4 separate regions of the Mus musculus genome follow, and regions 2, 3 and 4 are each reported to be linked to region 1. The links are microRNA targets in miRTarBase. Many come from high-throughput screens and were not tested one by one. Region 1 holds a microRNA gene; each other region holds the end of a gene's coding sequence. Distances are from middle to middle.

Evidence for each region. Region 1 holds the annotated microRNA mmu-miR-694 (CUGAAAAUGUUGCCUGAAG, at 4,065-4,083, opposite strand). A microRNA usually pairs through its seed, bases 2 to 8, with sites in the 3' UTR of a target mRNA and lowers its output. Matches are read on the target gene's strand: a 7mer-m8 pairs with bases 2 to 8, a 7mer-A1 pairs with bases 2 to 7 and ends in A, and an 8mer does both.
Region 2: the mRNA of Atp2b1 is a reported target of mmu-miR-694. Seed matches in the 3' UTR shown: 7mer-m8 at 6,764-6,770 and 7mer-m8 at 4,562-4,568.
Region 3: miRTarBase lists Riok3 as a target of mmu-miR-694. Seed matches in the 3' UTR shown: 7mer-m8 at 6,821-6,827 and 7mer-A1 at 5,583-5,589.
Region 4: the mRNA of Pafah1b2 is a reported target of mmu-miR-694. Seed matches in the 3' UTR shown: 8mer at 2,184-2,191, 7mer-A1 at 2,456-2,462, 7mer-A1 at 3,323-3,329 and 8mer at 4,344-4,351.

The regions. Positions count from the first base shown.
Region 1 is chr18:66,215,212-66,223,517 of GRCm38, forward strand. It overlaps Mir694 (microRNA 694), which reads right to left and starts at 4,122; the gene lies at 4,053-4,122. The region is part of intron 2 of Ccbe1 (collagen and calcium binding EGF domains 1); the gene reads right to left.
Region 2 is chr10:99,022,119-99,030,424 of GRCm38, reverse strand. It overlaps Atp2b1 (ATPase, Ca++ transporting, plasma membrane 1), which reads right to left. Exons shown (of 21, transcript NM_026482.2): 21 at 4,282-7,617. The coding sequence ends at 7,306. Among named protein-coding and RNA genes, the nearest start is that of Poc1b, 81 kb to the left of the region's middle.
Region 3 is chr18:12,154,115-12,162,420 of GRCm38, reverse strand. It overlaps Riok3 (RIO kinase 3), which reads right to left. Exons shown (of 13, transcript NM_024182.4): 13 at 5,054-7,201. The coding sequence ends at 7,094. Among named protein-coding and RNA genes, the nearest start is that of Rmc1, 10 kb to the left of the region's middle.
Region 4 is chr9:45,961,680-45,969,985 of GRCm38, reverse strand. Pafah1b2 (platelet-activating factor acetylhydrolase, isoform 1b, subunit 2) reads left to right here. Exons shown (of 6, transcript NM_008775.3): 6 at 1,020-4,675. The coding sequence ends at 1,298. Among named protein-coding and RNA genes, the nearest start is that of Sidt2, 11 kb to the right of the region's middle.

The sequences.
Region 1 (8,306 bases):
AGGAGCACTGATATTTGAATACAAATGCACATAGATGAATCTTCAACAACCAAGAGCGGTGCTCCATTTACCTTTTAAATTTAGTCCCATTTCAAATTTAAAGCAGTTGCCCATTAGAGATAGATGTCTTCCCGAACAATTTGAGTGGCCAATCCCAGCTCATTTGGGAGGATCCCTTTCAACTGGCTGCATCTGAACATTTGCCAGCATCTGGGCCAGTTTCACTCAGATTCCTGTCACGGTCTTAAGTTAATTCATCCAGATGCACGCTTATAAGTGCATCCCTGCACTCACCTCCAGCTTGCTGCCCACCTCTTAGTCTGAGAAATCTGAATTTCAAGATCTGCCACTAACAGCCCTTCACCTTAGGGTATGGCTGTCATTTCTGGGGTCGCTAGCCCATTTCTCTTCCAGGCTTTGCCCCATTGGTCACAGTTCTAAAGCTGAGCTGCAGACACTGACCTCCTGGCTTCTGTTAACTTGCTGCACGACATGGTGATATTAGCCACCTCCATGCATCTCAGGTTATTTTAGAATGATGCTGGAGAGGTGGCTCAGTGGTTGAAAGCACTGACTACTCTTTCAGAGGACCCGGGTTTGATTCTCAGCACCCATAGACTGACCTATAACTGTGTAACTCCAGTTCCAGGTAATTCATGTCCTCCTTTGGCCTCCAGTACTATACCTACACACACACACACACACACACACACACACACACACACACACACACACACATACACACACTCACACACACACACACACACACACACACACACACATACACACACTCACACACACACTCACACACACACACACACACACACACACACACACTCACACACATACACACACACACTCACACACACACATACACACACACACACACACATACACACACTCACACACATACACACACACACATACTCACACACACACACACACACACACACACACACACATACACACTCACACACACACACACACACACACACACACACATACACACACTCACACACACACTCACACACACACACACACACACACACACACACACACGAGACACAGACATGCATACATGCCCACATGCATGCAAAACACCTTCACACATAAAATAAAAATTAGCATTAGGACATGAAGAAGAACATGTCCAAGTCTCAGCTTACTGAACTCCCTGGCACCTTCTTAACATTCTACATAGTACATTCTAGTTTTCAGTGAAAGGTGCATCTAGATGTTTAAGGCAGATGTCCCGGAGATGTCCACTCCTTCCTTTGTCTCTTCATATATTCAGTTATGTGCATGCCATACCTCTGTCCAGTTCTCACACCTTTCCCTCGTCCTCCTACTGTATCCTTGGGAGTCCAAGCTTATGGCTTGATTGGACTCTGTGGCTGGGCATCCTGGCCAGTCCCTCCAGTGTGCCCACTATTTTTACAAGCAAACCCACATCTCAGATGGCATCAGTCACTATGACTTAAATGACAGCTCCCGATGGCCTGCAAAGCATGTTTCAGTGACCCCCTTCTCAAGACTTTACTTCTAGTTCATTCCAAGCCAGAATCCAACAGTCTGTTTTGTTTCCTAGCACAGAGCTTATTCCTGCTTGGGATACCACCTTCAGTTCCTTTCTCTGTCCATTCACATTCCACTCATCATACCAAGATCATTTCCAGTGCCTTCTGCTGTGTCCAACCTCTCCTGAGCAGCTCTCAGAACAAAAGATAACCTCTTCATTTCCCATATGCACCGCCATTACACCCTACTGCAAGTTCACGTCTCCTAGATTAGTAGTGAGCAGCGGGCCAGAAACTATTTTCTTCTTTCTCTGTACAACACTTAGAAGATACTTTTTCAATGTCTCCTTTAATTCCATTAAATATATCAAGTTTTCATGGTAGAAATCAGGTGTTAAATAAAATGCCTGCCTCCCAAAGACCCCCATCAATGTCAGAACTCTAGATCCTTGAAGGAGCTGTTTTGTGTTCCTTCACAGCAGAAACTCTGTACAAAGTAGGGGGTTTGATATTTGCAGAAGAGGAAAGGTAACTGTAAGATAAATAGCAAGCAAACGTATAGGGATAAAAGGGGATACTTAGCAAGGAGACTTCCACTCAACGTAAGTTGCAAAAGAAATCTTGTACACACTCCATCACCATGCAGGTAGCCAGAGAAATATCTACGAGCACCCTAGAAGCCAAAGCAAGGCAGCTTTGCCAACAAGTCACAGATCCTATGAAGCACGCGCAGGCCTCCACCCATCTGGTGCTTGTTCCAGAGTTCTCCCCACCTCCCACCACTCCCCTAAATCAATGTGCTAAAGACCAGTGGGAGAGAGTAAAGGCTCCCTAGAGAGGTGCCGAGGGTGGACAGCTTGATCCAACAAGCCAGGCTGCTGCGATGTTACAAGTGAGAACATTTAGTCCTGGGTGAAAAAAAAAAAAACCGAGAAAGAGACCAAGAGATGACAACTTGGGGAGACATTTGTTTTAAGAGAAAAGTTGTCAAAACACAAAGAGAAAATGAAAAGGGGGAGCCAGAGGAGGATTTGCAAAATAGAGGGCACGTGATTTACGAGACCCTCCCCAAAAAGGGCTGATACAAACTGAGGTAAGACAGGTCATGTTAAGTCGTGATATCTAAACTATGCAGAAAGTTGGATCAACTTCAAGAGCAGCTAGGAAGAGCAGGACACTCAGAATCTGCCTCTTTCCTTTCTTCTCAGAGAATGCGCCTCCCCAGGAAGGAAGCAGGTCTCCAGGCTGGAGGGAGGCAGTGCCATCCCAGCTAGACACGTCTCTGGTAAAAGTCCAGGGCTCAAGGCCAAGGCCACCCCTTCAGTCCTGGCTCCAAAGCCCACTTACTCCGTACAGCCCCAGAAATCTGGGTACAGAGAAGAGATTCTCTAAGGAGGGGGATCGTTTCCAGGACTAAGCATGTGTTACAGTCCCCAGAAATTGACCCCTAATATAATATTCAAAGAATTTCCCATAATGCCCACTCTGTGATAAACACTCACCAGAATGAATCTGCACAGGCAAGCTATGCCACTAACTGATCATGTCCATGCTGAGCAAGTCTGCTGATCACCCCAGGCTTTGGCTTTCTCAGCTGTGAAGTGGGAAGGATTCTACTGATAATCACGTGTGTCTCACAGGGTGCTGTGAAGTCCCTGGTCCCCAACCTTGATAGTACAAATTGAGTTTCTCATGTTTTACTCCAGACCAATTTCATCTGACTCTTTAGGGCTGGGGCCCAAGTATCAGCTGTCAATTAAAAAAAAAAAAAAAAAAAAGCAAAAACAAAACAGAAACTTTCCGGGGCTGAAGAGATTGCTCAGTGGTTAAGAGCACTGGCTGCTCTTCCAGAGGGCAAGTATTCAATGCCCAGCTTCCACATGGCAGATCACAACTCTGATTCCAGGGGATCTGACATTCTCACACATACCACACAAAATACTAATATACATAAAATAAAAATAAATAAATCATTCTTTAAAAAAAAAATCCTCCCAAAGATTAGACTAAGCTGCTTAAGTAGGGGACTGTTGCACCACTCCAACATGACAAGGTTGACTAAAGCCAGTACAAATCATGACAGGATCACGGCTCACATGAACTGGGGGTGGGGTGGTGGGGTGGTGGGGTGGGGGAGGGGTAGAACTATTCCAAGTTGGCTTAGGTGCATGAAGCATATCGCCCCCATTCCAGCAGAATGTAGAGCATTGGTTAGCTCCTTTGATGACAAGTGGAAATTGGAAATGCTCACACAGTCTAGCCTGGGTTTCTTTGCTCAGCAGACCAGCTTTGAGCATGGTACCTTTCCGAGACCACAAGCCCAGCCCATGACTAAGCCATTATCTTCAAACTCCCTTCTTAACCCAAAGGCCATCTTCAGAGAACCAGGACAGGAAATGTGAGCCCCACAATTGCACTGAAATGGAGAGAGAATGCAATTTCCAACTGGGGAGCTACCGCTGGCCTTTGTCTGGCCAGGAGCAGGTCACAGGGCAGGGGGTGCAGTGGGGGTCGGGTATTTGTGATGAAAGCAGAAGGCAGAGACTGCTTCAGGCAACATTTTCAGCCTGGTCTTGGGTTGAAAGCGATGCCTGAGCTGGCCTTTGACTCCCAGTTGGCAGCTTTGCCGCCGGGAGCTCTTACCTTACAACAGCTGTAATTTTCAGGTTTCTCCATCTGAATGCACAGAAACACTTTTCACACCAATTACCCTAACTTGGAGATTCCTGGGGTCAGACTTGTGCTCATCACCTGCAGACTCCTCTGAACTGATGTGAGCTCAGGCGAGCAGAATACAAGGCTCACCATGCAGCTCACATACTATGTAGAATTATCAGACATGCTGGAAACTAACTGGTAAGTTATGCCTCTTCTTTGAAACAAAGATTCGAGAGTATGAATCGAGAATCTATTTTATCTTTTAAAACTAGTTTAAAAATCCAGAAGCGCTAAGGGGTGATCTAATTGTACCTAATTCAATACTAGAGTCAAATGTCTTATACTACGTGTGAATTTTATGTTGTTTTGCCTTCATGGTAAACGTCCTGGAGAGGTCAGGGAGACACAGGATATACCTGAACATAAGAAAAGCAGTTTGCAGCAAGCCCATAGACAACACCAACTTAAACAGAGAGAAACTCAAAGCAATTCTACTAAAATCAGAAAGAAAACAGCGTCGTTCACTCTCCCCATACATATTCAATATAGTACTTGTAAGTCTGAGCCACAGCAAGAAAACTACTGAAGATGAGATTAGGGGGATAAAAATTAGAATAGAAGAAGTTAATATTAATAGTATATAAGTAAATAAATATATATTCTAACCAAATATATAGTATATAATTATTTATAGATGATATAATAGTATATAAATGAATATATATTATAATTAAATATATAGTATATATTTATTTGTAGATGATATAATAGTATATAAATGAATATATATTCTAATTAAATATATAGTACATATTTATTTGTAGATGATAGAATATTACATTATCAGTGACACTAAAACTTCCACCAGGAAACTCCTATAGCTAATAAACACTCTTAGCAAAGTAGCAAGATACAAAATTAACTCACAAAGTTAGTTGTTTTCCTATACACAAATGACAAACAGATTGAGAAAGAAATCAGGAACAGCATCCTTCCCAATAGCCTCAAAAAATATAAAATATCTTGAGGGTAATTCTAACCAAGTAAGTGAAAGACTTGGATGATAAAAACTTTAAGACCCTGAAGTAGGAAACTGACTACGGTATCAGAAGATGGAAAGACCTCCCATTCTTGGTACCAGCAGGTACTTTGCATACTACTAAAGAAGTGTGAATGCCAACCCAACTACAGACCCTTTGACCCACAATGATGTCCTTCCTGCAAAATACAGTAGGGAAACGCTGGCACAAAGATTACAGGAGTATGTTAACAATATCTGACTTGACTCCAGGCTCATTCCAGGTGATAGAACCCATACATGACACTGCTCAAGTGCCCAAGAACCGGAGACTAGATAGCCCAGGGACCTAGGGGTAAACAAAATACTACTGTTCACTATAGGAACATAGCAACAAAATGTCCTAACAGCATTCTGCTATATTCATAGATCAGTGTCTTGCTCAGTTGTCAACAGAGATGTTTCTTCCTGCTGTAGATGGGAACAAAGAGAGACCCGCAGCCAGACAGTATGCAGGGAGTGAGAGAGATTAGAATGTTCCCTCCTAATTGGATTGTCCCCATCAAATCCCTCCCCTCGGGGTTCAGGGAACCCTGTGGATGAGGAGGCAGAAAGAATAGAAGACCAGGAGGGATGGAGGACACCAGTAAATCACGGTCTTTTAAGTGCATCAGGACCAACTCAGAGACTGAGACAGGGCGCACAGTCCTTCCATATCCACATCGGATGGGGTACTAAAGCTGAAAAGAGAAGTAGACCCATGACCATCCCTAACCCTGAAAATACCTCCGAATGATAACCACTCGTAAATGAGAATTTAGGTTTTCTCTCAGGGAGGCTCTTGGGAAACGAGCTTCTCTCATGGATAGCGGACGCTTAACAGTAAACGAACTCAAACGTACAGCTTTGGAGTTTCCAACTCTCATAATGCCAGATGGGAGGCTTTTTTCTTATTTATTTTTTTACCCTACAGAACTTTTATACATATATACACATATATACATACATATATATCTTCCTGTTTAATGGGATTCCTGAATGTGCAAACAAGTGGGTCTCTGCATCTCTCTCTGTCTCTCTGTCTCTCTGTCTCTCTGTCTCTCTGTCTCTCTCTCTCTCTCTCTTGTGCCCTCTTGAACCTTTTTTCCCTTCTGCTTGTTTGTTTTGTCCTATTCTGATTTGTTTGATTTTCTTTTATGTTATCATATTATTTTATTATTATCATCCCCTGAAGCCTGTTTGTTTTCTAACTAGAGACAGAAAGAGGGAAGAGGGGAGAGAAGCAGAGAGAAGGAAAGCCATAATCAGAACATACTGCATGAGAAAAATCTATTTTCAATGAAAGAAAACTATCTGTGGCGCTTTGTGTGCAACTTAGGGATATAAAATCTTGACTTGTAGCCAGAGAAATGGCTCGCAATAAACTAGCAGGGTAACCTTCAGCTACATACATCCAAGACACTTTCCTCACGGAAGTCTGTCTTTGAAACTAAACATGGAGGCCATTAAAAGGTGGATGAGTCTCTGCTGCATGGGTTAAACAAAGCTCTCAGGATTCATTAGTGTGTGTCTCCCACATATCCAGACTCCAGATTACTTTTTTTTTTTTTTTTGAGACTAAGTCTCTATACTGCCCTGGCTGTCCTTGAACTCACGATCCTCCTGCCTCCGCCTCCTGAGTGCTGAGATTGTAGATGGCCAGACAGAGAAACTTTACACAATTACAGTTACACAGTGTAATTGTAATTTACAATTATGTATATAATGATGGCGAGAATAAAGGAGAGGCATTTGTTACCCTTTGAATCATATGACATATGATTAACTGTACAGTGTTCTATGGGGACTCTTAAAACGATAACTACAGATCATCTGCTAAGGTTTTATACTGATTTTTTTAAGCATTTAGAAATTCAGCTATCGCTTCTCAGCCCTTTGGCTAAGATCAAATGTAGAAATTAATCTTTTCTCTTATTAGCCTAAAAATATTAATGCAAAGTAAGAAATAATTCCAAGATCACGGTGGCTGTGTCATTAATTTTATATGCACCTAGATCCTAAATGTGACTTCTTCTCAACTCCTAACTCTGCACTACCCAGAGAGGAGGAGTGCTGACTCTCTTGTCAAATTGAAAGCCAGTTGCTCTAAGCTCCATAAAGAACCCTGACACCTGCCTTCTCACGTAATGACGTCTCAGACCTCAAGTTCCTCCTCTAATTTATCCTGTCCCTCTTAAGTGCTTCGGGCCAACACAATGAAAAAGTGATTCTAGTGCTATAATTTTTTATTATCTGGTCAGGCTATCTACATACCATAATTCTCATTTGGAATTTTCTTTCATATGCTCACTGGTTTATGGTGCCAAATGAATTTTAGATTTGTTTTTAAAGCCATAGATTTTTTTTTTAACTCCCTTTACTTTCACAAGGAAAGGAGACCTTAAATCGCCCCAGTTGAATTTATCTAACCTCACCTTTGACGGGAGTTATTTTCGCAGACGCTTCATGGCCTAGTCACTCAAGGGAAGGGCCCTCCATTCTTTTAATGCACAGGTACGGAGATTACAGCAGCAAGCCAGACATCCCTACCTGGTCAGCAGGTCTACAGACCTGATCCTCATCACCATAAACCTCACCATGAGAGGGAGCCACGGAGGGGGAAGGGACTCAGTGTGGTTCAAATGTGAAGGGAGGCTCATGTGTTTAAACACTCAGTTACCAGCCGGTGGCGCTGTTTGGCGATTGTTGTTCCTTCAAGAGGTAGGAGTTTTACTGGAGGAAGTGAGTCACCAGGTAAGGCTTTTGTAACCAGCCCACTTCCTGTCTGCTCTCTGCTCACTGAGCGCCCTCCCCCGACACCGTGCCTGCCTGCCTGCCATAAAGGCCTATATTCCTCCTTAAATTGTGAGCCAAAATCAAGTTCTCTCTAGGCTGTCAAAGCAAGCAACAGGAAAAGCAATACTGGGAGGCTGAGGACTCAGGGAAGGAGGGTAGCAGGGAAGGGGGAGAGGAAAGAGGGACGAGAAAGTTAGGGGGAGGTGAGGGAGCTGGAGGCAGAGCAGAAGTACCCGCCTTCCCATACTGTTAGAGCAAAGGCTGACACTGCCCTCTTA
Region 2 (8,306 bases), not on the chromosome of region 1:
AAACTACCTTGTATGGACTCGAGATAGGAGGAATTTAGGGTAATAATAACCAAAAATGAGGCTATTGACAAAAGACTTGAAACTAAAGGTGAAAGGAAAAGCAGCCGAGAGAAAGCATTTCAATAAATCATTATCTACTATTGGACTCAATGGCTACTGACATGTAACATAATGGAGTATTTAACCAGGTGGTCTTTAATCAATGGTTGGGTTAAACATCAGCTTGGTAGATCTTTAAATCAGGCACAGGCTTGTTTGTAGATCCTGCTCGCTTGTGCCTCCCCCACTCCCCGCCCCAGGAAAGCAGTAGTTTCAGCAGAGCTGCAAACCTTAATATGGTTTAATATAGACAGATTTAAAAGATGTTGCTTTGGACTAAAGCCTAACACAGTGAGAATGAGCAGCAGATGTCTGTTGAAACTTGAAGACCAGAGGCCGACAGCAAAATGCTAAGACAGAATAACGCAGAATGGATCCTGGTCAGGCAAACGAGGGCTTGGATTCTGGCGTGACGGGACATATAAAGACTTGCAATACATGCAATGGGGAATGGACCTGAGGATAATAAAAGGTTGGCTTGAGTGTCAGTCAGGAAACAAGGAGACCAGTGCACTCCCATCTCTATCAAGACTATGAGTGTACCGTAAAGTTAGGAAGAGGTATGAAGTTGAAGGCAGTTCAGGCTCAGCAAGGTGGCAAAGCCTCCCAGGCCTCTAGGTCAATGACAGAATAGGCTGAGGGAGCCATCTCCACTACATGGCAAAGATGAAGTCAACAAAGGTTAGTAGGCAAAGATGAGAGATGGCGGTCATGCCATAGATAAATACGACCAGAGGTGCAAAGGGTGTTTTTAAGAAGCCAAAAAGGCAGTTAGGAGGATACCCTATGACTTCAGAGTTAAGAGTGGCCATCTTTTGTTTCCATAATGAAAAATAGCAAATAGAATAGTCACTGTCATCCAAAGAGAAAACATCCACACAGGATGAAGCAAATGGGAAAAGACGTGAGATGCTTATAAACCAGCCTGGTGCCAACTGGATGGGGAGGGCAAGTGTGAATGAACAAAAATAAGAAAAATGGGCCTATGCAGATCTTTCCAAGGGGACGATAAAGAGACAGAGAAGGCCAAACTGAATAGAGTGGATGTTATTCATTAGCCTAGTTCTCACCAGGGTTGAACTTCAGTGGTTGCCCACTATCTATCTATCCAAGCGTTTGTTCGCTCCTTTGAGACAGGATTTCACTGTGTAGCCTTTAGCTGGCCTGGAACTCACTCTGTAATCTAGGCAGGCCCGGAACTCACAGAGACCTGCCTGCTTCAGCCTTTCAAGTGCTGGGATTACAGGGTCACACCACCATTGCCTGGCTCTATTCAAGCTTGTAGAAAACTCTCCCACTGGCCTAGCCCATTCCAGCTACACTGAGCATTCCCTTTTGGCCCTCTAACTTGGCAAGCACCAACCTACTAGAGCCTGTATGAAAGGTACTTCCTGATAACATAGCAGGTGGTTCCCCGGGTCCAGTTACTCACCTGTGAGGGTGTCTGTGAACACACTATGGAATACAGATTCACCCACCCAGCCCCCTTGCCCTGCACCTCCCAATCTGATCCTGTTTCTTAGGGTCAGAGAGGCAGGAATTCCTCCTCATAGGTACCGAGTATTTGTTGAATGCGAATGCCAGCGGAGCAGGAGATTTGAACAACAAACCCATCAAAGCAGTTAGCAGCTCATTTAGCAGGAAGGAAGGCAGGGACCAATGCCCAGACAATGATCTAAGATGACATGGCAGGATCCGACACCTTAGAATCAGATCGGCTCTACTGTTTGACGGCCCTTGCCCCTACTGCACTTCAGAAATGGAGAAGAATTACTTCCCTCAATTCTACAGCAGGAAAACAAACCATCAGCGACCCTTGGCCTCACAGGGGGTTCACCTCGGAGCAGACTTATGAAAAGGATCCGAACCTGAATTTTGAATGTCACACACTTCAGGTCTTAGTGGCCACTTCTTCTCCCTCTTCTCCCCCTCCAGCTATTCATTAAGACATGCTGCCTCAGACTAAAGACTAGTGATTTCCAAAGCGTCTTATTGAGAGAAAGACTTTTAGTATAGTTTACCTCAATGAAGATACCGTAATGACCACGGACGTCAGCTAGCGGCGTCTCGTTTTTACAAACCAAAGGGACGGAGCATTCACAAACTGCATGGCTGCAGATGATACTAAGACTGAGGCCATCAGAAAGGGTTGTGACCCACTTAGACTTGACTCACTGAAATCTGATGTGCAAGTGTCTGTCGCGTGAGCTGAATATTAACGCATTAAGAGTTTTTATCAAGGAAGATACTGTTGCTACACAAAATATCTCACTAAAATAAACTCAAGGGGGTTGAGGGGTAGATGGGATCTCAAATATAGCTAGGAAAATTTCAAAGGGTACATAAGGAAGAGCAAAAGAAGCGTGAGGCGTGTCTAAGTAGTGTATTCATTCTGTAGTTACAGTTTTTCTTCTTTACAGAGACAAGAGTACTCGTCGTATTAAAGTGATAAACTCTCATCCCACATGATTAATAAAAGTGCTGACCTTTAATGCTACCTATGGAACTTCAAAACCACCCAGCTCAGAACTTCTAACTGAAGTATGTGACGAACGTCTCTGTCCTAGCTTCCTCTGACCTGTGAGGAGAGCTTGGGCTACTTACATCTTAGGCAGTGCCACTCTGCCTCAGTCTTTGAGCTGTTGTTTAGAAGTTATCTCGGAAGCCTCCGTTATCAGAAAAGAGCAGCAGCAAGGATGGCAGCACCAGGCTTATGCATTGGAGGTTTTTTGTTTTTTTTTTTTTTTGGATACTTGTTTGACTTAAGTGCTAGCAGCTGGGGTTCTTCAATGCCGTCTCAGTGTGAAGCTGACTTCTACCATGTGTTCCCAAGCTTTTTAAGCCTCAGTTTTCCCATAAGTACAATGGAAGTTCACAGGGTTATTATTGACATAATCCATATAAAATGTTTGGCATACCGAAAATTACTTCGTAATTCCTAGTTTATGGGCCAAAACCCCATTGCTAACATTGTGGGGGGGGAACCCCCGGAAACTATATGACCTTTAACCTTTGATTTAAATTAAGAGAAGCTTAGTTTTGAGCTGAACCCAAATCCAGAAATGCACAGTGCTTTTTCATAGGGCAGTGTTGCTTAAGGAAACTGTGCCGGGCACCAACACCGTATAAACACACACATTAACTATAAGCCCCTATTTTGGAGCCATGAATGTACTGTTCAATAATGACAATTCAAACTCAGAGAAAACAGAGTGACTCAGCCTGCTTGTACTGTATCTGACTATAAGATTTAAAAAAAAATTTTTTTTAAAGAACAAATATGAAAAGTGGAAAAGAAATCATTCTCATGGCAAAAGTATATAGGATTAAGGGTTTATAAGAAAAAGCTACCACTTTGTTGATAAATTATTTGGATGAAAGTAATTTTCTTATTGACACCTAACCAAGAGAAGAGTCTAGCAATACAGATACTCATATATGTGTAAGAATAATTGAAAAAGGATGGTGCTCTGCACTTCAGGCAGGGCTCGAGAGCAGCCCAGGTTAGTGACTGAAAGGTTCAAGAAACCAAGGTTTCTAAAGGTAAGCAGGGAAAATGCCAAGAAACAAAGGCTAAAGAAAGTGCCGCTTCTTATTTAGTTTAACTTTACAAATAGGACATATTAAAAACTCAATTTTGACAGTTAATACATATAGAAGTTCCCAATCTGACAAGATGAAAAGTACCCTTCCTGTTGTATGATTCAACCATTTAATAGTTTATTCTATCAAAATACGGTATCCAGAATTACCTTGCTGGTTCGGCATTGGTCTGTGAATTTATGACAATCATTGACTATGGAAACCACTGAAGTGTAAGTTTCACTGCTATTATTTTTCCATCAGAGTTAAGACAATTGCTATTAAAAAGTTCAGATTGTTTAATAAAGTGTTCTTAACAAGTTCTACACTAAACTAAACCGCTGCCCTCCCTGGCCTGCAGAATGGACGCTGTGGCTGAGGGCTGACACTCTAGCAGCTGGGGTACTACACCCCCTTCCCTTAGAGAGGGGAAACCAGGCAACTGCATGAGAACACGGAGTCCCCGTACCCATCCTAACATTCCAAGTATTTTATAGACTCTGCATTACGTAGGTTAAAAGCAAAAATCTCAGGTAGGAAAAAAGGAATGCCAAAATATGGTGTTCAGATCATCCCAAGGGTCAAAAAGTTCAGTCCCCATTCAGAAACAGATAAACAGTATATTTATTAAATGAGTTAAGACAAATAAACTTTACAAATAGACAAATAATAAAAGGCTCAGTGGCTAAAAGAGATGGTAAGCATCATTAAAAGAAATCAACACCATCACGGTAGTATCCCAGTTGGCTTACACGTGGAAATGAAAGTTTCAAAGAGCAATTTCACAGAAATGAAGCCAGGTGGTTTTTTTTGTTGTTTTGTTTTTTTTTCTCTTATAAACAAATCACCATTTTCTTGGTTCAAAACTGATAATCTGTTATGAAAATTACCATATCACATATTTGTAAGATGACAAGACGTAACTCATCCTCAGAGTGTGACAACTATTTACAACCACGGAAAGGCAATGATGGGGAGAAAAGGGAGTCTAAAAAATATACAAAGATTAAAAACATTTGGGATGCAAAATTAAACAAGTTTTTTTTTTCTTTCTGATTTTGGTTAGAGAATAAAAGAGAAAAATGTGAATTACAGATGTTGATTTAGGTATACACACTATAGAATGGGATCCAAGATCTTTAACAGCTTGCTTGTATTTTTTTTTTTTTTTCCTACTTACATAATGCTGTGGACATTTCTGGTAGAAATTACAGTGTCTCAAAGAGAGAAACGCACACCGAGCGTGTTTTGCTATTATGACTTCACGGATGTCCTAAGACCCACTTATGGATTTAGAGGTGGGGTAAAAAGCCATTGCCTTGAGTTTTGGAAAAAAAAAAAAAAAACCGGAAAAGCTAGACACAAACCCTCCAGAGCACATGCAGGTCTCATTCTCTTGGTAATTACATTCATATTTAAGCATAACCAAAATAAAAAAGAAAGCTGAGAACATTTCCCTTTCTCTATTCCCTATGCCTCACAGGCTTCTTCAGTGGATAGGGTCAATTCTTAGAGTTGAAAGGGTTCTTCAAGAGGAGTCCCCCACCCTCCGTCAGGGTGAGTCACTGCCCCAAGATCATGCAGCACGTTAATGGCAAATTCAAGACGAGGAGTCCACCTTGGGCTCCTGGTCTAAATATGCGTCCCAGCATATCATGCTACCTCTTTTTACAGTATGAATAACTACAAACACCTGATGAGTAAAAATGTACAGTGATCGATGGGACAGAGCCGATGTGTTTCTAAGACTTGCAGAGAGTTACTGCAGGCAACTGATGGGGAGAAAAAGATTCCTCCCACCCGCCCAAAAAAAAAATATATATATATATCAAGCACCATCAACTAGATGTTTCTTTGCTAGGTCAGCATTCTTGGATGTAGTAGTCCTCGTAAACTTTAGGTCAGCCTGAGGATTGTTTAACTGGCGAGATCTGCGCCCTGAAACAATACCACTTTCTAAAAGGTCAAGACGAGAGGCAGACAAAGGAAGAAGGTAGACAGAAAAGAAGCAGAGAGCCTGGAAATTCAATTGTCTCAGAGATGAGCATAGAGTTCGGCATAGAGTTGGTTATTACAGAGATCGTGTTTAGCCGCTTCCTCAAATCTTCATGCGCCATCCCTTTAATCTAATCTGTGACTGGGACACTTAATAAAAAACAAATACATCAGACAACTGTGGTCATTACTTCGTATAAAATGGCGAGACTACTTTACTTTAGATAAAAGTAGATTCTATGAAGGGTGTGCTAGGTGGCAAAACTGCTGTCTCAGCTCGACTCCATGGGGTGACCAAGAAAGGATTCAAACAGCCCTTCCTGAGGCTGCCACCAGCTTGAAATTTATTCTAGTTGTGGTTAGAGGAGACAGGCCAATGCGGCACACGTAGAGAACCAAGGAGCTGAGCTGTCTGAAGAACCATTGCTGTGTATTTATTTAATAAAAGGGCATATTTATTTATGTTTACAAACAAGTTTCAAAAACAAAAGGAAACGATGTATGCCTCTCTCTATTAACCTTTCTCAAAATGCCAACAGCCCCCTCTATGCTGTGTGAAGGTCTCTACGCAGTTATTAGAAAAATCAATGCAGTCACTCACAGTTCACTAAGACATCACTGAACTAACATATTTAGACAAAAACAAAAAAAAAAAAAGACTAAAGGTTTCTCTTGTACTTTGATAGTTTAATTTGATTGGCCTGAAATAACAAAGGCATTTCAAGCATCTTTCATTGTGTATTTGATGTCCCGCAATAAACAATCTACTAAATTCTGAACAAAAGGTTATTAGCAAGTTTTCAAAAAATTTAAAAATTAAACAGTTCTTTCAAAACCATTAAGTAGTAAATGTATTTAAGAAACTAATTAGGACAGATGCCATAACTTCATTAGAACACCACTGCTCATGGTTTTTGTTGTTTTTTTTTTTGTCTTGTTTTCTTTTTTCTTTTTTGTTTTTTAAACAAAGCATTAGTGTTATCTATTTGGCTATTAGTATTAGCAATTTATCTACATATGTAACAAGATAAATTGTAGGCAAAAATTTAGTACAGTTTCAATAGAAACACCCCCCCCTTTTTTTTCCTGAAAATACAGCAGTATTTGAAGGACTAATTTTTCTCTGCATTACTATAAGGAAGCTTCCCGTCTATGAAGAACAAAAAAAGTATCTACAAACCTTGTAAACAGATCTGTATCATTTATAAACATAAATAATCCAAATTATTAACAGCCAACAGCAGAAATTAAAGTATTCACTCAATGATCCAGGGCTCTCTGTCTCACCCAGCGTCACTCCTCCCTCCCTCCCATCAAGAACTGAGATAAACCACAGCTCTGCTAGTCAGGACAACGTTAGGTACCACTGACGACCCACAGGCCACTCCTGCCGAGTCACCGCTGTTCATCTGTCAGTTCGTTTCTCCCACACCCCAAAAAAGCACCCTCAGTCTGGCAGAAAGCTTTGCTTTTGTTTTTTTTAAAAAAATAAATCTACATTCGTACAAGTGTGTCTTCTGTTGAAGTCCAGAGACAAGAATACTATCTTGTCCGTCACAATATGTGAAAAGACTCAGTTTCGATTTGTTTCTTTACAATGCAGCTAGTGTGTTACCATTCATCTTACAATCAGAGTGATGTTTCCAAACTATGTAGTGGGCTTCCTGGGGATGAAGAGGTAGCAGACTTGTTCATTTCTATTGTAAGGTGAATTCCGCTGTCAACAGCATTGTTATTTTTGTTAGGAGAGGGCGGAGGGCTGGAGTTGCGTTTTGTTGGGGCGTCGTCTTCAGCATCAGTGTCATCAATAAGGGGGATGTGCGGCTCTGAATCTTCTATCCTAAACTCAGGGTGTGTCATAAAGTTGTGGATTGAACTTCTTGATTCTGGCTTCTCTAACCCTTCGTATAAAGAACTACGAAATGCATTCACCACTCGGATCTGTAAACAGCACAAAACACAGAGAGATGTCAGGACGCCAGGAACTTCGCCACAGTAATGGTTCACTTATGAGTTTGAATCCACAAACAGCTAGGTATGAGTGAATCGAATTTGCATGTAATGCAGTGGAACTTGCAATACACTGTAAAAAAATGAATATTTTAGTAGGACACTACAGAACAACGAAACCACGTACTCTAATCGAGAGGTACACGTTCAAAGAAAAACTAACAAAATCTCAATGTTACTGGCTACAAATTTAATAGCCATTTTGTAGGATTTTTTTTCCCTAAGAAGACAAAAACAAAAACAAAACAAAATGAGAACTTAGCCATACACAAGCTTACTTGAATTATATTTAAATAAAAAAGCACATATTTCTCAAAACAACTCAAGGTTAACAATGTCAAGCACAAAGGGGACTATTTATCATGCTAGGAATTAGGGTGTCACCAACTATGAACAAGCCAAGCAAATATAAGCTGAGTGCCACAATGAAGTCACATCTGCCCCACTCCTTCCTTAATTAAAATTGAAGACGAACCCGAATACATATCTATAAAATGCTACTAAACAGCTATAAATATTTGAGTATATGCCATTTTTCTATAAAAGTGTTAGTGTTTTGTTTTTCTGAATTAAAGATTATAACTTAATCACTATAGTTCTCTGGAAAGAACAGATTCCAA
Region 3 (8,306 bases), 54 Mb from region 1:
GACTGCTCTTCTGAAGGTCCTGAGTTCAAATCCCAGCAACCACATGGTGGCTCACAACCACCCGTAATGAGATCTGACACCCTCTTCTGGTGTGTCTGAAGACAGCAACAGTGTACTTATTTATTTATAATAATGAAATCTTTGGGCCGGAGCAAGTGGAGCCGCCTAGAGCAAGCAGAAGTCCTGAATTCAATTCCACAAGCACATGGAGGCTCACAACCATCTGAGCAGCTACAGTGTACTCACATACATAAAATAAATAAATCTTTTTAAAAAAAACTTAATATATTTTACATATATGCTCTACCTGCATGTATACCAACATGCATGCCATAAGAGAACATCAGCTCCCATTACAGATGGTTGTGAGCATCATGAGGGTGCTGGGAATTGAACTCTGGGCCTCTGGAAGAGCAGCCAGTGTTCTTAACCACTTAGCCATCTCTCTAGCTTTTTGAACTCGGCACCTCTCAATCACTGAGCCATCTGTCAAGCCCAGTAACAAATTCTTAATTGCCTTTTAGGGACTTCATTTCCTTTCACACTCCTGTGCCATGTAAAACACATATAAATTTGTATGCCTTCTTCCTATTCAGCTACTGTATGCTAAATTAATTCCTGGGGGTCAAAGCAACAGAAGGGTACTTGCTCTTTTGAGGAACCCAGTTCAAGTCCCAGCACCTATACTGGGTGACTCACAGCTGCTTGTAAATATAGCCGTAGGGGGTCAGCTGCCTCTGGCTTCTGCACTAATTGTGGCAAACACATAAATAAAAATAATAACATTAAACCTTTGTAAAAAAGAAAAGTAATTTTTGAACCCAGCAGAGCCTCTTGACAGGATGAAGGTAAAGGAAGTCAAAATGTCCACAAAGACAACCTTTTGTGCTTGTCTATAACAAACTCACCTGAAAGCCCTCCAGCCCCTATATTTACAGAGAACTCACGTTGTGCTCTTGTTTTCTCTTCTGGGACAGTTAGTAAGAACAAAAGTTGATTCTCTGTCATATCTCCCCTGGTGCATTTCCTTTTTGTAAAAGCCTTTGAGTCACACAGTTATAATCAAGCCTTCATGCATCTGCAGTATAGTTGAGTATGTCAAGTACTATCATGATGCTGGAAATAGCAATGAATATATTGGGTAACAACTGCCTCATGCCAGGTAATGTGTGCGTGTTAACATATGAGGACAATGGATTTAAAAGGAATAAATCCTCTGGAAAGACAGATCAGGATGAGGAGAATGAAGGAGTGGTAGCTGCATTATCACAGTTACCAGGGTAGCCAGCATCCAAGGCTTTCTGTACTTTCTGAGACTTATGACCTTGGCAGTCCTGGGGAGCAGGGACTTCTAAGTTGCACAAGGCTGACCCATGAACCAACAGTATAGTACATGATAAAATGCAATTCCAGAGTGTAAGTGACATTCATTTAAAAAAGATGAAAACTCTTAACTTCAAAGGGATGAGACAGTTTCCTCTGGAACCAAAGGGGTAAGCATGGCCCAGGAACACAGTTGTAGCCTGTTGCGGCCGATAGCAGCTCCGCAACATGAACGGTTTGACTGAGAAGGCTACTCGAGCTGTAAGAGAGGAATCTAGACGGGGCGAAAGAAGAAACGGAGCTAAGACAAATTTATTTTGATCAAAGCTCAAATTTTATTGTTGGGACACTAGTTATGAAGGAAGGGGGAGGGGACCCGATTCCCGCCGAATAATCTCGGGTCCAGTAGAAAGGTGCACGTGTGTGGCTCCTCAGGTTCCAGCAGTGGGCGTGGCAGAACGAATGAGCAGGAAGCTCCACCCCGAGCAAGCAGGTTTCAGGCTGGGGGAGGGGAGACTACATCTCCTCCCTTTTATTAACAAAATTTAAAAAAAAGAAAAAGCTGGCCTGAGGGGGGAAAAATTATCTATGCTCAATAGTTCTGCCTGGAATCTAGGGCTAAAGAAAAAACTTGCTTCACTGGGATTCTTTAACTTTTCTTATGGTAAACTGTATCTGGCTTAAGACTGTCCTTTCTAGTAAACAACTAACTGAAAGGCCTGGAGCTGCAGACTCTGACTTTATAATGCTAATTAGTACTTGGTAGGTAACTTTTTAGTTGAATTTTAAGTAGGGCGTTGGAACTCAGGCTAAGTTTGACTGAACAATGTGAAAATAACACTAAGTTGATATTCCTCCGCATTTTTGGATGATAGGTGGGAAACAGGGAGAAGGAGTTCGACCGGCTCTTGTAGTAGCCTACCTCAGATTCATGTACTAATGTGCAATCAGTCTCATTGCAGTTTTGTATCGATAACAAAAGAAAATCATGAATTAAGACACTTTAAAAATACACTGGTGGAAACATTAGGTAGGTAGATAGATTAAAGGGACAGAGAAGACACCCCTTCTATGAGCCTCAGATGCTAGCTGATGCCATCCTTAGGTTTTGGTAGAAGGTAAGGTTTTGTTGAAGCAGTACATTCCAAAAGGAGTTATGTCAGTCACAGGATGCTAGGTCTGACCCTGAAGTGGTGAGGAATGGCTACTTAGGGGGCTAAAGATGGGCTGTTTAAGTAGGCTCTGGGTCTGCAGCATCGTGACCTCTGCACAGTCACAGACATTCCATCCAGTTCATCGGTTGTCACTAACTGGATGGGGACAGTGGAAGGTGCAGCCTCTTTCTGGGAACTTCATCAGTGATAAAGCATCTGCCCGGTCCATGTCAACACATCTATTGTGTCTGTTCAGCTCACGTTTGGGCAGTCATGTGGTTGAGACTATGAGTGTAGCTTCTCACATTCCTTCCAAAGACTGAGCCTCCTGCCCATAGCTGGCAGGTAGCTCTCAGCTGATCCAGCCATCAACTCAAAGGGCACAAAGCATGCCACTCTCAAATATGCCACTGAAAGTATAACAATGTAAAAACAGAATTCTAGGCCTTTAGGCCCAGGCTTGGGAATGTGGCCTTTGTAAAGGTATGCTAATCATAAAAGAGATAGCGACATTCCTCTACCCACCCGTTTCCTGGGTTCAAAGAGTGCTCATTCAAAGAAAGTCACCCAGAACCTGCAATGCAAATGTGCTATTGTTAGGGGCTCTTAGAAGCTGTCTTGAGAGTTAACAATTACCAGGTATTCCTTGTGACTCTTGTAACTTTACACTTCCTTGTGACTCTTAACTGGTATCTTTGGTATCTTCCAACAACGCCCTCCCCACTTCCTTGAGTTTCGGTTTCTTCCTTTAAATACCCCCTTATCCAGCTACTCGGAGCGCCACGGTCCTCTACCCCTGCGTGGTGTATGACCATGGGCCCGAGAGCGCTCTTAAATAAAAATCCTCTTGCAATTTGCAGCAAGACCCGTTTCTTGTGGGTGATTTTGGGGTGTCGCCTCTCCTGAGTCAGAACGTGGGGGAGTCCTCACGTTGTGGGTCTTTCACCACCTATCCTGGCGTTCTGAGAAAGCTGCTTAACAACAGCTGCAAGAAACACTTGCAACCTTCCTAAAAGAGAGATGAACCCCCAGCATGGGGGAGAGGGCATCCTTCCTGAACCACAGCTGAAAGAAATCTGTTGAACTACCCTTTCTCTTCCTAGTCATGTGGCCATGACTGAACTTCTTGCCTAATCTCCTTTTCCTCACAGACTCAATGGCTGTCTTGGTTACTGTAAAGAGACAATGACCTAGGCAACGCAGAAGAGGAACCATTTAATTGGGAGCTTGCTTAGAGGATTAGTCCATGATCATCATGGCAGGAAGCAGAGGCATGATGCTGGAGCAGTAGCTGAGAGCTTTACACCCAGCCCCAAGCCAACCCACAGTGGCACACCTCCTCCAAGGCCACACCACCTAATCCTTCCCAGACTGTGGGCCGAATATTCAAACTTGAGCCTTTGCGGGCCATTCTGCTCTAGATCACCACAGTGGCCTTTGTCCAACAACTCAGAATATCTTTCGTTTTCAGAGAAAATCTGCCAGGATTAAAGGTATGTGCAAGGACAATCCAGAGTTTAACTTCAGTCTCTGTGCTGTGTAAAGTATGTATTCAATAAATAGCTGTACTTTCCTCCTGTTCATGTCGAGTCCCATCACTCTGAGACAGCATGGGTGAAACTTTCTCTCCCATAGATAAATGAGACCACTTTGAAAGTAGACTCTTCAGTCCCAGTCAGCCTTTGGATGACTAATCCATCTGGCCAATTTGTTTCTCATGAAAGTCTTTTCTCACTCTGCCAGGTGAATCCTACTAGAGATCAAACTCAGATCATGAACTTGGTGGCAAGAGCCTTTAACAACTGAGCCATCTCATCAGCCCCAAACCTCGAATACTTAGTAAATTTTAATGTAGATCCTACAAAAGTCGAATAGAAAAATATATACCTCCATAAACTCAGGCTTGAAACTATAATCAGATGAATGACATCTCCAGTATTTCTCAAGTGTTACCAATGCTTGGGACTTTAATGTGCAGGCAGGATTCCCTTCTGATGGTCAGTCTGCCAAGCCTACCTCTAGTGACACACCTTCTCCAACATGGCCACACCTCCTAATCCTTCCCAAACAGTCCCACCAATTGGGGACCAAGCATGCAAGCATGCCTGGGATGTCGGGGTGGGGGGGTGTCACATCCAAACTACTACAGTTTCTATCTTCTAAGGGAGTCAGCCTTACTTAACATCTCCCCATCAGCTGCCTGATTTTTTCAGTCTGCTTTGTCCATCCATTTTGTTTTTTTTTTTTTAGGCAGAATCTGAGGCTGGCCTCAAACTTGTAGTAATCCTCCTGCCTCACTCCATGCCTCTACCAGGATTAAAGGTGTGTGCAAGCATAATCCAGAGTTTTAACTTTCAACTTTTTGTTGCTGTAATTGTTTTGGAGACAGTCTACATACCCTTGGCTGACCTGGAATTCATTATATATACTAGGCTGGCCTCAAACTTACAGAGATCTGTCTGCCTCTACCTCCTAAATACTGGCATCTCATTCTTATATCATGGAAACTAGTAATGAATTATCTTATAGAAACAGAAATTCTCTCCAATCACCCTTGCATTGGTAACATTTTTTTTAAAGGATTTATTTACTTATTTTATGTGAGTACACTGTAGCTGTCTGCAGACACACCAGAAGAGGGCATCAGAGCCTATTACAGATGCTTGTGAGCCACCATGTAGTTGCTGGGAATTGGACTCAGGACCTCTGGAAGAGCAGTCAGTGCTCTTAACTGCTGTCATCTCTCCAGCTCGGTAACATACATACATACATACATACATACATACATCTTTACAGTCAATAATAAAATAAGACAAAGTATTCCTATTATATACATACTTTACTGGATTATTTATCAAACTAGTATCTCCAGCTATGTGAAAAATGTCCTGACTTCACAAAGGGGTTTCGGGGGGGATACCTGTAAAACTCAAAACAAAAGTTGTGTGTGTGTGTGTTTAAAACTGCACTGCTGCTGGGCGTAGTGGCACACGCCTTTAATCCCAGCACTCGGGAGGCAGAGGCAGGCGGATTTCTGAGTTCGAGGCCAGCCTGGTCTACAAAGTGAGTTCCAGGGCAGCCAGGGCTACACAGAGAAACCCTGCCTTGAAAAACAAACAAACAAACAAACAAACAAACAAAACAAACAAACCAAAACTGCACTGCTTACTTTGCTATAGAAAGGGTGTCTTGGTGCCAGGACATTAAAATAAGGACAAAGAATTAACCACACAATGAACCAATTCTAAAATGATCTCTTCATTTTTAATTTCTTGAAAGGCAAGTTCATAGCACACTCCAAGCAATGGTTTGAGAAAGAATATGTGAAGAAAGCAAACAAAGTTTTAAATGATTGTTTCTAATGACTTTTCTGCAATTTGTGTCCAGCCAATAATTTCTCATCATTTAAATCTTTGTGTGGAGCAGCAAACATAAGTGGGATGAGCCACCTAAATTCACTCCTCTGAAATGCAATTAAAGCAGTAGAACAGAAACAAAAATAAATAGTCGAGAAAGAACATATTTGGCAATTTAAAATAATGTTAAAATTTTTCAACTATAAATTACATTTACTCTTTATAACCAGACAGAAAGTGAAGCTGGTTAGTGGATCCAATGTAACTCCCGGAACTGGGGTAATGAGGTGAGAGCAAGCAAGCACTGGTCTTCAGAACAAGGCTCACCTTCTCAGGCCGAGTCCAGCCAGTGTGACGCTGGCAGAGGCCCACAGCCGAGTTAGCCGGTCAATTCAGTACTTGAGCTGTTCAGGCTGTGTCTTCCACTTACTGAACAGCTCCACTTACTTTGTTCTAGTTCTCTCCAAATGATTAGCAATCAATATGTGAACAATTTGGGGAAACGTAAACGGAAATGTTTCACTGCCTTCTTAAAATGTAGCAGATCCCATTCTTACCTTCTGCCCTTCCAGATACTTTGTATTCTCATTATAAATGTAAATAACCAACCATTTAACCTAATGAAGAAAACCTGAAAGTTAAGTTTTAAAATGTAGTTAAGAAATCCTTTTATATTTATCTTTCAGAAACCTGTCACCTCTCCTGGCTATGAGACGGAAATGTAGAATTCCACACATCTACGGTGTACCAATAAAATGCTTATGTCCATTTCCACCATCCACTGAGGCCAAGTGCCCATTTCTAGTACCCACTGGGGTCTCCACGCTCACGGTCAAACAGCTAGGAAGGGCTAATTTAAAACAGCAACATCCACCCAAAGACGCAAGGGAAAGCAGGAGGCGAGCGGAATGGAGCAGAGCGCAGCCATCGAGCCTCCCCTGCAAACACCTCAGTCCCCACCTCCCACATTTGGAAACACTGCCTATGTGAAAATCCTCATCTAGACACTTCAGATCATGAGTTGTATAAAATCCAGACTCCTGTGGCTACACATCTATACCTGTTAAAGAATTATATTATCCTTTTTGTAAGATGAGAGGTAGTGACATTTTATTCTTTCAATGCCGAGTTAAAAATTGCACACATCTGGCACGTGGGTCACAAGTGAGAAGCCCAGAAGCAGCACTGTCCACTCCTGCTTTGGTATGTCAGGTCACCTCCACTCGCTGGCTATGGCAGCTGCCGTCCGTCACCGCTGTACTAGTCGGCAGACAGCACAGGTGGGCTTCCATCATCTTTCAGAAACGAGGCTGCTTTCCTCCCGTTCTTCTGAATGTGATCTTCATTCATCTTCTCCAAAGCTTCTATCTACAGACCAAGCATGGAACCCTTCGTCAAATTTTGGCTTCTTAGGAACATATCTGACCAAAGTGGCATTTTTCCTCTCTAACCTCTGGTTAATGATGCTGGCCTTGAATCAGAATCTCTCTCACCTTCCTCTCCCCATACTCTGTTTGCATGTGACAGATGTGCACATATACATGTTTGCTTTTCTTTGCTTTTCAGTATAAAATAGATTTATTTAGGGAATGGGGGTAGGGAGGTGGTTAAGAAGATAGCAGAGGCAGAGAAAGGGGAAAAGGGAACAGGAAGAGAGGGGGAGCAAGAGGCAAGAGAGAGGCAAGAGCATAATTTGCTTTCACTTGATGATATTACCAAGGTCAATACTAGAATCTCATCAGTTTTGTGATGTCCTCCATAAAGCTCCCCGCCACAGTGTCCATCCCACCTGACTGAGCCACAGCTCTCTGCACTTCCTGCCTGCTCTTAGGCTCCCCCAGAGCTTGGCCAAGCTCAAGGTTCACATGAGAATTTCAGAATAGACGCTAACTACTCTCTGCAGTGTGGGTAAAACACTGGGGAAATGTCTTTCTTAAATGACATCCTTTCTCTATGTAGACCTGGATGGCCTGCAACTCTCTATGTAGATCAGGCTGGCCTCAAGCTCACAGAGCTCCATCCACCTCTAGGATTAAATGTGTGCCACCACAGCCAGCTGTTGCTTTTACGTTTTAGCTTTTGCCCAATCCTGAGGTAATACGAGATCTCTGAAGGATCTGGCTTTCTGCCTTTGTTCCCGCAGCTCAGTACTACGATGAAGGACTATCTCTGTTTGTGGCTACTTCTAGCTTTCTACCTTCAGCCAAGGGCAGGTGGGTTCTGTGAGTTCCTGTTGCGACATCACCCAGAGTGTTCCTCAGTCAACTTCCTCATTCTTCAGACTGGAGAACTAAAGCTAAGCGAGAATGTGTTATGACCCATCCTTTCTTCTTAGACCCCTGCCAGGGAACACACCATGTAGACTCATGCTGCCCTAAAACTCAAAGATCTGCCTGTCTCTGCCTCCTGAGTGCTGGGAGTCTTCTATTACTCATTTAAAGCAAAGTGTCACCTCTGTGAACAAGCATTTCGG
Region 4 (8,306 bases), not on the chromosome of region 1:
AATTCAGAAATCTGCCTGCCTCTGCCTCCCAAGTGCTGGGATTAAAGGCGTGTACCACCACGCCCAGCTGATACTTCTCTTTACCATAGTAGAAAGACAGCCATCTTATTTATCTGAAAATTGTATTAGATTGTTAATCTACCAGTTAAAATTAATTTAGGATAAATTAATTTATCTTACCAGGTGAGTAATTTATTTAATTCATGTGTTTCATTAAGACAGCTTTGCAGCTGTGATTCCACTTCACTCTCTCTCTCTTTTTTTATACTGTGAGACAGTTTCTCTGTGTAGTCTTGGCTGTCCTGGAACTAGCTCTGTAGATCAGTCTGTCCTTGAACATATAAGAGTTTGCTGCCTCTGGAGTGCTGGGATTATAGGCATGTGCCATACCAATGTCTCCAGTTCTCTTTCTTGTAATGTATTATAGTGTAATTTCTCTGGCATTGATAGGTGTATCTAAGCTACATTCTTCTGACAAGGCATATGGAGAAAGAATTGAAAGAGGACATACTGGTTTTGGGATGAATGGCAATAAGTTCCTGACCAGACTTTGTGTTACCATGGTGAAGAAGATGATGAAGGCTGTGGATGTGGCTCAGTTGATATAGTGCTTGCTTGGCATGCAGTGAAGCCCTGGGTTCCACCCTCAGTACCATAGAAACCAGATGTGATGATACATATCTATAATCCTTAGCATCTAGTGAGTGTGAGACCAGCCTAGGATTCATGAGACCTCGTTTCAGAAAACAAAAGTTGATTAGAGAAATATTTAGAATATAAATATTTAGTCATCCTGTAATAACTATGAAGTGTGAGATGAGAGACCTGGGATGTTGGAATGACAGTTGACATAACTGTGGACAAGAGAAGGTGATGCACTGCTTTAGAACAGGCTGACGAGACCCCAGGAGCATTGGTCTGCAGGTAGAAGTTCAGTGGAATTGGGAAGCTCAAGTCATAAGTAAGTAAAGAAAACCAAGTAACCCTTTCTGTTAATGCTCTTCTATGCTCTGCCCCAGGGTCTGTTACCTCGAGGTGAGAAGCCCAACCCTTTAAGACAAAAGAATGCCAAGGTGAACCAGCTTCTCAAGGTTTCCCTGCCGAAGCTTGCCAATGTGCAGCTCCTTGATATAGACGGGGGCTTCGTGCACTCGGACGGTGCCATCTCCTGCCACGACATGTTTGATTTTCTTCATCTCACAGGAGGGGGCTATGCAAAGATCTGCAAACCCCTCCATGAACTGATCATGCAGTTGCTGGAGGAAACACCGGAGGAGAAGCAGACCACCATTGCTTGACTGGCCCATCAGTGTTACAGCATCCCGCTTCCTCAGATCAGTTAGACCACTGGCACTACAGAATCCTTTCTTAAGGCACTTTGCATTGTACAATGTTCCTGGATGCTTGTATGTTTGAAGGGGAGGAGGGATTTAAATTGGTCCTGTATATAAAGGTTTTGTTTGAGAGGAGAAAAATTAGCCAAGGAAGATTCATTTGAAACCAGAAGGGGACTTTTTAGTTGTTTATGACACATTTGTAGAATTATCACTTTTCCCTAGGACAACATCAAGCAAGAGTACAATATGAAGATTCTTTTCTTGGCCCTTTTTTCTATGGATTATGTCATGTGTGATAATTATCACATCTACTTGGCTTTAAACTTATTTTTGGTCCAGTTTTAAGGTTCATAAGTTAGTATGTTGTGTTGTTTTGTTTGATTCATGTATCCTCAGTATTTTTATTAACACATAGCATCAGATTAAACATGCTTGTCACTCCAATATGGGAGATGCTATAGTTACAAGTGAGTTTGTTCCTCTCAATCTTAAGCAGTGAAAACAAGGTCTAGGGACTGTGGGATATTGTTTTTATTGCTGCTGATTATCATGTCTGTAATAGACCCGTGCATGCAGCCTTCCCTCTGCCTCCCCCTCATCTCCTCACAGGTGGGTTATTTACATTACAAACTTTTAACTCATTTTTGATCTAGGACATGCACTGCCGTCAGGACGGTCTTACTGATGGATAACTCATTCTGTGTGGTGTTCTGTGATGTAGGGTCTGTGTAATGTTCATCATCCAGAGTTCTGCTTGTCATCCCCTCCCCCCCCAACCTGTTGTTTTTCTTTGTTTTGGGTGTAGGGGTGGTCAGAATTGTTTCCCATTCCATAATGCCTGATGTTATTTTCAAGTTTTATATTATCTTAAGGTGTATATGTTTGTTTTCGTTTTATATATATTATATATAAATAGATCTATTTTACAGTACTGGAATCAAACCCAGGACCTAGCACATACTAAGCAAGTACTCTGCCACTGTTTGCTTGCTTGCTTGTTTTTTTTAATTCTTAAATTCTGTCAGCAAAAAAAAAGTTTTTTTTCCATGGGAAACAGGGAAGCTGCTCTCACAATAGATGTACTATCCTTATCATTTTTTTTCCTTTTTTGTTTTTGTTTTTCAAGACAGGGTTTCTCTGTATAGTCCTGACTGGCCTGAAGCTCTGTAAATCAGGCTGGCCTTCAATTTAGAGATCACTTGTCTCTGCCTCCCAAGCGCTGGAATTAAAGGCGTGCGCCACCACACCTGCTTTAGCTTTGCTATCTTTATTCTACCATTTTAATAAAGGTAAACTAAGTTCCTGTTTTGGTCTTTGAGACAGGGTCTCATAGTGTAGCTCTGCCTAGCCTGGAATTTACATTGTAGGCCAGGCTAGTGTTGAACTCACAGAGATCTGCCTGCCTCTGGACTCCTGAAGACTGACAGTAAAGGCATGCATGTATTACCATGGAGGTAGCTCATTGATCTTTTAAGGTTCCTCATATAATTTAATGTCTTTATCAAGATTTTAAGAGAGCTCTTTACATTCCTACTGGTTTGCTTGAGCTATACAAACTGCCACTTGAGAGAACAATAGATTATTGGTCATCCAATATGCCTATGGACCCGTATAAACTGGATCTACAAACATTTTAACTGGACCAGGTTGGGGATTGAAGTAATTCATTAAATGTGCTCTGCAAAGATTTTGCTTAATGGTTACATTCGGTAGCTATGATCTAGGTTTTTATGTTCTGCCTTCAGAGCAGCCATCAGGGCTGGTAGAGGAGCTATTGTTGGTTTGTGCTGAGACCTGCACCTGACTGAGAAAGATAGAAGTTGAGGTGGTTTTTTCCTGGTGAGCATCTGTGTAGGAATTTAAGGCATAGTGTTATGAATGTATCATGTCTTCATTAGCAACAGGAAAATATACACGGTGTTTACTAAAATTGTTTACTACAGTAAAATTCCCTTTTATTTTTTTAGTAGTCCAAGTTCTTGAGTTTTTCAAGACAGATTGTTTTCTGAACCGAGCTATCATTTTAGGAAGGAGAGTTAATTAAGCCAGAATTTTGTGTGTAAAAAGAGCATTTTTTACCCAGGTGTTTGTGTGTTCCTCGGAGAGTGGGAGTATGGTCCAAGTGAATCCATTCGGTCACTCCCGTAGCATGCCCTTGTAGTTTCTCTTGACCAAGGATGAACTAGTCCTGTGAGCTGGCCGTCAGCTCCTGCATATGTGTATAAACCTCAGATGTTACTACGTTTTATACCTACCAGAGCTCTTCAAGCAATAGTATTTGAACCACTAGCCTTTTAAATAAAACTCTGTCCTATTGCTAACATGCAGATATGGAGTCCACTGTCATTTCTTGCCAGGTTTATTTGTGCTGGTTTAGGGGTAAAATTGTTAAAATTGTTGGTCAGTTTTTCTTTGGTTGACATCCCAGATTGCTTCAGTGACAAACTGGTTAGTCTTTGTGTGTTTTTAAAGACGTGAACAGAACTACTTTGCCATTGGCTAAGGGCCTGGCAGCCAGCAGAGACACTGCTTTGTTTTGGTTTTTTGGTAGGTGGGGTGGTGATGTTCTTAGGCAGAGTCTACAGTACCCTGGCTGTCCTTGAACTTTGGTGATCCTCCTGTCTCTGTCTCTCCAGTACTGGAATTACAGGCCTATTTCACCATGCTTGACTTATTCTGTTCCTTTCCCAACATTTTTCTTCTCTTGAGACAGGGTCTCAGTGTAGTACAGTCTGTCTTACCATGAGCTGTGGATGCCCTTGAACTCGGTCCTTCTGCGCCATGTCTCTACTGTAGCAGGTTGGAGATGCCCTGGCATTGTAGATTACCATTGGCAGTGCTCTGGCCACCATGTCAGGTCTGCTAGGATTGTTGAGGACTTCTATCCAATCCTGATACTTCTGTCAAAAACCTCACCCAGCAAAATAAGTCTTGACTAGCTAGCTCATGGCCAGTTCTTTAAAGAATTATAATTCATTGTTTTAAAAAGTCCCAATTTCTGTTTGCATTTTCAATTTAATCACTTAACAGTTGTATGCTGTGTCTGAAACCTGTCTGTGCTAAGGTGTGTGAATATTGCCAGTTTTCTATTTATTACAGTGATGAAGAAACTAGAAACTTAGGAAAGGGGAGCACAGCCAGCTCCTGACTCTGAGCAGCTTGTGTGGGAACAATGAGTGGGGGCTTGCCAGTGAGCTTCCTCTCCGGGACCACTGCAGCAGGCTGACTGAACCTCCCCAAGGGAGCTTGTGACTATGCTTTGGCAAAGGCTTCCTGACTAGAATCCATTCTGTCCAGTGCTCATTTAATATAAAAGTCAACATTTCACTGCAAACTTACTGATGTCTGTTTCTTTTATCATAGTTTAGATTCCAATGGAAAAAGCTGGGGCGGGTTTTCATACCTTATAAACATAATGGATTGTTTGTCGTCTTATGTCCTCTGGAACTGAATGTACCAAATTGACTCCATCACTTCTCACAGGGTAGGACACTAGGACGGGTGAGTAAAGTTATAAGTAACCCTGAGTAGATATAGGAGAGTGTTGTAGATTGGTCACAGTCTCCTTATGTGGCCCTGCCTGGCCTGGAACTCAGAGATCTAGTTGCTCCACCTTTCACATGCTGAGACTAAAGGTGTGCCCTACCATACCTGGCCTTAAAGATAAACCGTAAGCCAACCTTTTGACCCCCTTTTTTAAGTTCAGTGTTTCACATTTACTCACAGAATGGCCCATGTGGCATTTCTCCATTCTTCACACTAACAGTCACCGTCATTTTACTGCTTGGGACAGCACCTCCTGTTCCCCGCAGCTTGCACTCGGATGACTTACTTGGCTGGGTTCCTGTGCCTTCTAGGGAGAAATGCTTCAGGAGACCTCCCCAGGTGTTTTGTGTGAGTAGAGCCCAGAGAGCTATTGCTTAAGGAGCTTAGAAATCCAAGGCAGGCAGACCTACGTGTACAGAGAAAACAAACAAAAGAGATTCAGAAATTGAATATTACATTCTCTCCGAGGTCATCCTGACTTATATAGTTGCGCCCAGCTTTGAGCCAGCTCTCCCTGACTTCCTGCCCGTGTGCTACTCATTGCTCTAGATTCTGAGGATCTAGTTGCCTCAGGTGAGGGTGCTAGGATCGATGTGTCTTCTCTTCCTGGGTGAGGAAGCAGCTGTTTGGTCTTTCTGCTGCTAGTGTCTCCCTTTCAGTCCTAGCTTTTGTGTGGCCATAAAAATAGATTTACTTAAAGTGCACTGTCTGGTCATCTGACTTGCAACCTTCAATCAGCACTAAAATTAAAACATGGAACAAAATTTGTGCTGATATACCTAAGGGGTTTGGGAGACTACAGAGCTCTGTGTTAGCATGTCAGAAGAAGATACTACTTAGATAAATAAAGTTATAATCTAAAGAGAATGTGGAGGCTTACAACTAGTCAAATAGAATTCTCTGCATATCAAATCCTTTTAATACCCAACAAGATGATTTGTTTGTGATTTTTGGCATGTAGCTCAGGCTGGCTTGGAATCCCTTGTGTAGCTAAAGATGATCTGGAGCGAATCATCTGCTTCTATTTCCCAAGTGCTGAGGGTACAGTGTTTACCACCACACCTAGCCAGAAAGAAAGCTTTAAAGTAGGCAGTTTGTCTGCTTCCAATGACATTGGGGTGGAGATGGGGACATAATCACAGATGAAACCTCACATGAGGTCTTATTCAGACCTCTAGAAGCCATGACTGCGTCCTTTGGCATCCTTCATACGGGGAAGGCTAGAATTGTTTTGCAGATAGTTTAGTCTGAATGTGTGCTGTAGACTGTCTTATCAGAACTGAGTGAGTGTCATCAGTCCCAGTATGACACATGATGATGCCAGCATAGGATGTGAACCTTGGACGGAGCCTCATTGCCCATGTCTCCCAAGCGGAGGGACTAGACCAAGGTACTCGTCCTGATGACACAGCACGGCAGCAGTAGTTACAGCTGGAAGATATGGCTACAAATTTCTGTGGCATATTCCCTTAACCACTCTGCCATAGTCCTGCTGCATTAAAATGCAGGCTACAAATGTTTATAGAAATAATAATTCAGGATGGTTTTGTTTATGACACGTTAATGCAAAGTTCTTCTCCACCCAAGTTCCCACAGGCCTTACCTTTGTCAGTTGCCTAAGAGGCCCTCTTAGATTATTTTTAGATGAGGTCTCCTCCTGCTGGAATTACAGACTTGGACCACTTGCCTCTGCCTGATCACATTATGTAGCCATTCTGAATGAAAGATGTTTAGTGTTTAGCTGAACAATGTTTGTCTTTGATACAGTGTAATCCCACATAGGCCTCTGGCCTCATTTCCTGGCTCATTTAAACTTAGTTTATTTATAAACACAATTTTCTAAAACCAGGTTTTGCTATATAGCCCTGGCTGGGCTCACACTGATGACTTTGCCTCAGCCTCTTAGGTTCTGAGATTACAGGTCTGCACTACCATGCCTGGCTTACACAAAGACACTTAACACTGAGTCAACACACTAGTAAAGAATCAAATACAACAGCATGCTTGTCGGCAGCTCCTGGCTTACACGGTCAGCCTTCCCTTCCATACATAAGTACGGCTGTTCCAAGGTGAGACTACTCTCTGAAATATTGTTTCTGTCCCCTTAATTGGTTAGTCCTTCCATCTTTTATCCCAATAGGGACCCGTGGAGTGTTTGCTGATTCTTCCATTTCTAGCTCCAGTCTGTCTTACTGCTCATGTCTATGTTCTCATAATGTCCTCCATAAACTTTTTTTAAAAATAGTATTTTTTGTTTGTTTATTTTTAAAACTACATATATTTTTGAGTGTGCACACATGCCACAGTAACCCAAGGCAGCCTTTAGGAGTTGGTTCTCTTACCATGTGGGTTCTAGTTATGGGACTCAGTTCTTTAGGCTCTGCAAATTGCCTTGATCTGCTGAGCCATCTTCCAGGCCTACATAAATAGTGAAGGTGCTTTAAGGCTCTCTCTGTTCCTAGCACAGTTTAGGGACAAGTACAGGCCAGGCACTGAATAAATAAAATAATGAATGAATGGGGCTGGCCGTGGTGGTGCACGCCTTTAATCCCAGCACTTGGGAGGCAGAGGCAGGCGGATTTCTGAGTTCGAGGCCAGCCTGGTCTACAAAGTGAGTTCCAGGACAGCCAGGGCTACACAGAGAAACCCTGTCTTGAAAAACAAAAACAACAAAAAAAAAAAAAAAAAAAAAAAAAAAATAGAAGAGGCTAGACTGGTTTGGAGATAATAGGAATGAGGAAATCACCTGGAAGACTTGAGGCCAGTTCGGTAAGAGAAGGTGTAAGAGGTAAGCCAGTGTATAACTAAGAAAAGGGCAATAGGACTGTAGAGTTGTTTGTAATCTAGGATGTGCCAGAGACGGGCAAAGCTCTTAGCAGCATCCTGACTCAGTAGCTCAGGGCTCAGGCTTTTCTGCAGGTGAAGATCTGGTCTCTTGGCAGTGATCCTTAGAGGCACAGATTTGAACTGATCTATTATTTATCCACTTGTGCACTGCAACCTGATGCCCAGGCAACCTTTCCTGGAAAGCTCTTTCGGTTCTGTCACATGGCCAGAGGGAAGCAGATACAGGGACTGAGTGACTCAGTATGAATGTTGAAGCTTAGGGAACAGAAAGTAACATCTTCCTCTTGCAGAAAACCCTGCCCATTGCTCAGAGCAATTCTCTCTCATTTCCCTTGCCAATTTTTAAAAATTCTTCCCCTTGCTCACCCCACCCTTATACTCACCCAGCACTGTAGATTGAATCCAGGCTCCTAGCATACCAGTCAAGTACTCTACTACTGAACTACATTCATCATAAGCCCTTTTTATGTTTTGAGACACATCTTACTGAAGTTTTTTCAACAGGCTTTGAATCTGTGGTCCTCCTGCCTCAGCCTCTTGACTAGCTGGGATTCCAGGTCTGTGCCACCAAGCAAA